2 linked regions of the Callithrix jacchus genome follow. The main gene of each other region encodes a partner of the protein of the gene in region 2 in a complex. Links are inferred from orthologs where the notes say so. Each region holds a gene or a part of one and is shown on either strand. Other genes may lie near its edges.

Region 1 (3,815 bases), on a different chromosome or scaffold from region 2:
GCTTGGTGGTGTGTGCCTGTAGTCCCAGCTACTTGGGAGGCTGAGGCAGGAGAATTGCTTGATCCCAGGAGGTGGAGGTTGCAGTGAACTGAGAACGCGCCACTGTACTCCAGCCTGGTGACAGAGCGAGACTCTGTCTAAAAAAAAACGAAGATGGTCTATATATGCCATAATCATCATTAATTAATTTTCAAAGTTGCTTATAAAAGAGGTGGAGATGTTTATCTTGGCTTCCACTAAGGAAAAGGAGATATATTTTTCCACATCCAGTTTGCTTGGATCCTGGTTGGTAAAGAGGTACCAGGCCATGCAACTAAAATGATTCCATGGCAAGGATATTGCTTGATGCTAGTTGTTCATTTACAGGTAGCTTTTGAAAATGGCTGCCTCTCATTTCACCGGGCTCACAGCTGTTGCTGATGTAATTAAAGATCTAGACACTCAGATAGCTGTAAGTAGGTTTGAGGCTACTGTGGGCAAAACTTGGTGAATGTGCTTCTGATTGTCATGACCCCCAAGCTGACGTCCACAGAGTAAACCTCATGGCTCTAAGATTCAGGAGTCTCAGCTGCTTCAGGCTAGGGTGTCTGCATGTACTTAGATTGCTAACACTCCGAGAAAAATTGCTGTTGACAAAAAGGAGTTTACTTTTAACAACAGCTAAAATTTATGTTTTTGGGGCATACCCCCGACATAAACTTAAGCATGTTTGAAATGCCAAAATGAACTAGTCTGTATTGTTAAGCTTTGTGACTGATTTTTTTAAAGGATGTGATTGTGCCATGACTTATTTGAATTTAACATTATTTGATACTTTAAAAATAATGCATGTAGTACTTAACTATTTTTACAAAGTTCTCAAAAATGTCTTGCTTATTCTAGTTTATTTTTATTTTATTTTATTTTATTTCATTTTATTTTTAGACAATGTCTCACTCTGTCACCTAGGCTGGAGTGCAGTGGTGGTATGATCACAGCTCATTGCAGCCTCAGCTTCTTGGATTCAGGCAATCCTCCTCCCTTAGCCTCCCGAGTAGCTAGGACTACATGCTAAGTGAGTCCAGTTAAGTGGGATTTTTTTTTTTTTTGAGATGGAGTTTCACTCTTGTTGCCTAGGCTGGAGTGCAATTGTGCAATCTCAGTTCAACGCACCCTCTGCCTTCCAAGTTCAAGCAGTTCTCCTGACTCAGCCTCTCAAGTAGCTGGGATTACACATGCCACCATACCTGGCTAATTTTGTATTTTTAGTAGAGACAGGTTTTCTTCATGTTGGCCAGGCTGGTCTTGAACTCCCAGCCTCAGGTGATCTGCCTGCCTGGGCCTCCCAAAGTGCTGGGATTATAGGTGTGAGCCACCATGCCCGGCCCCTAAATGGTTTTTTGTTTGGTTTGTTTGTTTGTTTGCTGAGACAGAGTCTCATTCTGTTGCCCACGCTGGAATACAGTGGCATGATCTTGGCTTACTGCAAGCTCTGTCTCCCATGTTCAAATGATTCTCCTGCCTCAGCCTTCCCAGTAGCTGGGAGGGATTACAGGAGTGTGCCACCATGCCCAGCCAATTTTTTTGTATTTTTGGTAGAGATAGGGTTTCACCATGTTGGTCAGGCTCATCTCGAACTCCTGACCTCAGTTAATCCACCCGCTTTGGTCTCCCAAGGTGCTGGGATAATAGGCGTGAGCCACCACGCCCAGCCCCAGCTAAGTTTTTGCAGATAGGGCTTCCCTATGTTGCCCAGGCTATTCTGTAACTCCTGGACTCAAGTGATCCACTACAGGCACCCAAAATGCTGGGATTACAATGAGCTACTGCACCCAACCCTAGTTTATTTTTGTACGTAAGATTCCTTATTTCATTTACTTTCTTCCTTGTTTCAATTTTGTGGTCAATTTTATTTAACATTTAGAGAAGAGATGGTTTCTAAATGTCAGGTGAAAGCAAAAACCATTCTTCATTCCCTCAATTTTTAACATGTAGGTATTAAATGGTCACCATTCCATATATACTGAAGAACTCTCAAAGTCTAACAGACCTGATTTTACTTGCTTTTTTTTTTTTTTTTTTTTTTGGTAGAGATGAGGTCTCACTATGTTGCCCAGGCTGGTCTTGAACTACTGGCCTCAAGTGATCTGCCCACCTGGCCCTCCCAAAGTGCTGGGATTACAGTTGTGAACCATTGCACCAGGCCTCTTTTTACTCTCAAGACTCATTCTTTATTACAGGTTCTTCTAGAACTAATTCTTATGCTTTTCTTCTTCAGTTAATTGGCCTTGGTCCTCACAGCTCCAAAAAGAAACAGGATCTCGATAAGCTCTATGAGCTGAAGTCCAAAGCTCGGCAGATTATGAACCAGTTTGGCCCCTCAGCCCTAATCAACCTCTCCAATTTCTCATCCATAAAACCGGAACCAGCCAGCACCCCTCCACAAGGCTCCATGGCCAATAGTACTACAGTGGTAAAGATACCAGGCACTCCTGGGACAGGAGGTCGTCTTAGCCCTGAAAACAATCAGGTATCATCCTCTTACTCTTTCTTCCCTGTAGCCACCTCTCACCTGTTATTTCAACCTGTAATACTTAAGAGATGTCCATCTTATATGCTGCCTTTTTCTCTTAGCCGAAAAGGTCTTTTCCGTCTTACGGATTTCTAAGTTTTTTGTTTGTTTGTTTTTTTTAAGGCTAGTCATGTTTGTTTGTTTTAATGTAAGTAGAGACTATATTTGGGCCAAATTTGAGGACCCCAACTCAGGAGACACAGATTCAGTTTGCCCTGAATATATGATCCTCTAACATTCTTTAGCAAATTATCATGTACAGTGTTTATCAAGTTTTACTGTGTTGTATATTGTTGTGTGTATGCATGTATCCATCCATCCATGCCTGTGGTAGGTTTTTTCTTTCATTTTGATAGGTGTTTTATATATATGTTAACTATATAGTTGTTAAATAAAATAATTAATTCATTTTTCCTATGATGGAAATACTCTTGGTTCTAGCCATTCCACCTTCTAGTTCATCCAATTCCTGCCATTATTAATTTTCTGCAGTGATTCTAAAATCTGCTCCCTTCTTTCTACCCATAATTCTGATTTTGCCTCCAGAGCCACAAGAAATAAGTATAATCTCTTTGAATTGGGTTTTGTAGGCTGTGAAGAAAAAAATGAATGAGTTGGCCCAGTATTTCAAGGGAATGAGTGAAGGAACTGGCAAAGGTTAATGAGGGATGGTTGGGCAGACAATCAGGAGATCAGTCTCTTTTGAATATGGAGTCTGTTATAGAAGACAGAATTTAAAATTGTATAGGTAGCGAGGCGTGGTGGCTCAAGCTTGTAATCCCAGCACTTTGGGAGGCCGAGGCGGGCGGATCACCTGAGGTTGTGTGTTCTAACCAACATGAAGATCAAGACTATCCTGGCCAACATGGTGAAACTCCATCTCTACTAAAAATACAAAATTACCTGGGCGTGGTGGCTCATGCCTGTATTCCCAGCTACTTGGGAAGCTGAGGCAGGAAAATTGCTTCAGCCTGGGAGGTGGAGGTTGCCATGAGCTGAGATCGCAACATTGCACTTCGGCCTGGGCAGCAAGAGAGAAATTCCACCTCAAAAAAAAAATATTGTCTAGGTAGGGTTATGGCAGAACATAGTGACCCTGTACTAGTAAGTTTCCATTGGAACTTTCAGGTAATATACAATCTTTGCAGATATTTAATAAAGAAGTAAAAGTATGTAATAAAAATAGTGTATTCTATAGAGTAGTAACTTGGCAGTAAGGGGACAGGATGGGTAGAAAAGGGGGTTAGACTGGGTGGATGACCAA
Region 2 (3,915 bases):
AATCCTAGCACTTTGGGAGGCTAGGAGTTCAAGACCAGCCTGGCCAACATGGTAAAACCTATCGCTACTAAAAATACAAAAATTAGATGGGTATGGTGGCGGACGCCTATAATTGCAGCTACTAGGGAGGTTGAGGCAGGAGAATCACTTGAACCCGAGAGGCAGAGGTTGCAGTGAGCAAAGATCATGTCACTGTACTCCAGCCTGGGTGACAGAGCAAGACTCCTTCTCAAAAAAAAAAAAAAGAAAAAAGAAAAAGAAGATAAAATCCTTTTAATGTCCTACAAAGCCCTTCAAAATTTGCCTTCTCCCATTACATCTCTGACTGCCTTTCCTTCCTGCTTCCACTTTGATCCAGACACATATTCCTTCAGGCTGCCCCTTCAACTTGCCAGGCATACTCTTGTCTAATAGCCTTTACTCCATTCCCTCTGCCTGGAATGTTCTTCCAGAATGCCTGATTGCCTGTCTGCCCTGACCACCCTATTTAACTCTGCACTCTGCCCTCAGAGTGGGAGCAGCCCACTTTTTCTTTTCTTTTTTTGAATGAATGCCACTTTTTCTTTTCTATAGCATTTAACATCTGGGTTGGGTGCAATGGCTCACGCCTGTAATCCCAGCACTTTGAAAGGCCAAGGCGGGTAGATCACAAGGTCAAGAGATTGACACCATCCTGGCCAACATGGTGAAACCCTGTCTCTACTAAAAATATGAAAATTAGCTGGGCGTGGTGGCATGTGCCTATAGTCCCAGCTACTTGGGAGGCTGAGGCAGGAGAATCACTTGAACCCAGGAGGCAGAGGTTGCAGTGAGCCACTGTACTCCAGCCTGGCAACAAAGTGAGACTCCATCTCAAAAAAACAAAAAAACCTTCTAATTCGTTGTATCGTTTCTTATTGTTTATTACCCCCACCACACACCATATAGACAGGGCTCTTTATTTGCTTTTTATTTTTTTGAGATGGAATTCACTCCTGTTGCCTAGGCTGGAGTGCAGTGGTGCGATCTTGGCTCACTGCAACCTCTGCCTTCCGGGTTCAAGCGATTCTCCTGCCTCAGCCTCCCAAGTGGCTGGTATTACAGGCATGTGCCAGCACAGCAGGCTAATTTTCCTATTTTCTTTTTTTTTTGAGACAGAGTCTTGCTCTGTCGCCAGGCGCCAGGTTGGAGTGCAGTGGCGCAATCTCGGCTCACTGCAACCTCTGCCTCGTGGGTTCAAGTGATTCTCCTGCCTCAGCCTCCCGAGTAGCTGGGATTACAGGCATGAGCCACCGTGCTCGGCCTAATTTTTGTATTTTTAGTATAGATGGGGTTTCGCCATGTTCCTCAGGCTGGTCTCGAACTCCTGACCTCTGGTGATCCGCCTGCCTCGGCCTCCCAAAGTGCTGGGATTACAGGCGTGAGCCATCATGCCCAGCTGACAGGGCACTTTATTATGTTCACTAATGTATTCCAGGATCCCAGCCTGGGACATCATAAATATTTGTTAAGTAGATGAATTAGTTGTAAGGTTTAGAGATGTTGGTACTCGGTAACTACTAGTTATTGCTGTTATTAAGAAAATATGTCACAGGTCCAAACTTCGAGCCTACACTGCAGTTAAAAGCAAAGTAGACCAGGTGCAGTGGCTCACGCCTGCAATTTGGGAGGCCGAGGTGGGAAGATCACCAGAGGTCAGGAGTTCAAGACCACCCTGGTCAACGTGGCAAGATCCCATTTTTTTGTAAAATCACAAAAATTAGCAGAACATGGGGGTGGCCACCTGTAGTCCCAGCTACTTGGGAGGCTGAGGTGGGAGAACCATTTGAACCCAGGAGGTAGAGGTTACAGTGAACCGAGATCATGTCACTGCACTCCAGCCTGGGCGCCTGAGGGAGACTCCAGTCTTAAAAAAACAACAAAATGGAGCCAAGCAAGGTAGCTCACTCCAGTAATCCCAGCACTTTGGGAGACAGAGGAAGGTGGATCACTTGAGGATGGGAGTTTGAAACAGCTTGCTTAACATAGTGAGACCCCCATCTCTGCAAAAAATTGAAAAATTAGCCTGGCATGGTGGACCTGTCATCCCAGCTACTTAAGAGGCTGAGGTGGGAGGATCACTTGAGCCTAGGAGTTCCATAGCAGCGTGGGCAACAGACAGAAACCCTGTCTCAAGGAAAAAAAAAAAAAAGTCAAGTGGCACACTGGAGCTGGACATTAGGAAGATTAACATCAATACTGTTCAGGAATAGTACAGGTGGTAGGGTGGGGCTGTGCTGGAAGGATGGGAAGAGGGAGGCCGAAGAAGAAACTGGTTCTTTTCAAACCATCCCTGGTCTCCTCCCCAACTTTTTAAAGTCTTATCTATAGGGAACACAATTATTCGAGACATACTCTGTGCCTGGCGCCGCGTTTATAAGAGGCGGTCGTGTCCCACTTCCCTGGCGAACTCTTACGAATCCTTCAATACCCGGCGGTACCCTCTGTCAGTAAAGGCTCATAAAACACGCTACAGTCACAGGATCTCCTCAGATCAGTGGAGGCGGCAGGAAGGCGTCCCAGGGGAGGATTAACTTGAGCGGGATCCCAGCAGAGAAGCAGGTCGAAAATCCCCGGGGAGCGCGAAAGGAGGCTCAGAGAGCCCACCTCATCTCCTGCAACATCTCTCCAATGCAGACACACACACGGGGTCCCCACGAGCACGGACACACAACCAACCGTCTTGTTTCTAGTCCCCACAAGGGACCTTCAAAGGGTCTCCTCCAGAGTACCACTCAGACCCGCCCCCGCCAGCCGAACGCTGGGAGCAGGAAAACTCTGGCCGCCGCCAAGACGCCGCTCACCCGGCGCTGGGCGCCATCTTGGCCCCGCCCCCTCCTAGGAGCAGGTCCTGGCAGAGCGGAAGTCCAAATCGCTACCGCTTCCCCGTGCCAGAATACGTTCTCTGGACTCACGGAATGAAATTATATTTTAAAATTTTGTTTAAACATCTACATATAAGAAGAATTCCGTCTTGGTTGAATTACTGCAAATTATTCCTTCACTACCCGGCTGCCAGGACCTTGAAGAGGCGCCACAAAACGGAGGCGGAGAAACTCAGAGCAATGAGGCCCCGCCCCCTACCGAGCTGATTCTGCTCGTGCGCCGACCTTGCCAGGCTGGATTTAAGGTTGCCGCCAGCCGCCTGGGCATTTAAAGGACCCACTGCCTTCCCGAAGTTGGTTTGAAAGCAAGCGATGGTTGTTTGTGGATGGCGCTTTGTCATGGGACCTATGTGGTTGGGAATATTGCTTTTCCTTTTGGCCGTGCACGGGGCTTGGGCTGGGAAGCCGAAGGAAGAGGACGATGACACAGAACGTTTGCCCAGCAAATGCGAAGGTATCTGAAGGGGGTAGCCCCTGTTGGCATCGCCCGGCCACACCTCCTTCTTCTAGGCCGGACCTCTTGGACTGTATTGGGTGGGTCACCTGAACTCCTTGAAAGCTTGAGGGAGGTTCTGGTGGAGCTTGGCTGAATTTGAATGGATGGGGTCAAGGAAGCAAACGTGTAGTGCCGCCCCAAAGCTATGGCACTGCACTTCCCAGGAGGCATTCAAAGAGAGCCTGCATTTTTTTGGTTGACTTGGACCCCCCCGCCCCCCCCCAATGGATTGTGGGAATTGTAGTTCAGGGACCATTGGCCCTGGACTGCCAACTTTAGAGCATCTTCAGTGCGTGTTTCCCGTCACCAGACCTTAATCTGCAGAGGCTGCAGGAGCTCTGTGAGGCTCAGGCCTTGTGGACATCTGCTGCCCCACCCTAGCATAGACGCTCCCAAATTACAGGCCCCACGACCCCTGACGGGGTTTGAGGGTGAGTAATTCTGCCCTTCAAGCTCAAAAACAACAGGAGGCCACACGACTAGGGGAGGTTCCCCATCCGGGTGAGACTTTGCAGA

Evidence for each region.
Region 1: TAF6 (region 2) and TAF12 share a complex: the UniProt entries of both Homo sapiens proteins name them as parts of the TFIID basal transcription factor complex. The link is inferred for Callithrix jacchus from reciprocal best matches to the Homo sapiens genes TAF6 and TAF12.

Annotation. Positions count from the first base shown.
Region 1 is NC_133508.1:65,289,540-65,293,354, reverse strand, and holds part of TAF12 (transcription initiation factor TFIID subunit 12), read left to right. Parts: intron 1-366; 5' UTR 367-379; coding exon 380-451; intron 452-2,257; coding exon 2,258-2,509; intron 2,510-3,815. UniProt on the Homo sapiens protein: The TFIID basal transcription factor complex plays a major role in the initiation of RNA polymerase II (Pol II)-dependent transcription.
Region 2 is NC_133503.1:13,465,689-13,469,603, reverse strand, and holds the start of TAF6 (transcription initiation factor TFIID subunit 6), read right to left. Parts: upstream 2,859-3,915; 5' UTR 2,374-2,858; intron 1-2,373. Other genes in the region: CNPY4 (protein canopy homolog 4), read left to right, coding at 3,325-3,357. UniProt on the Homo sapiens protein: The TFIID basal transcription factor complex plays a major role in the initiation of RNA polymerase II (Pol II)-dependent transcription.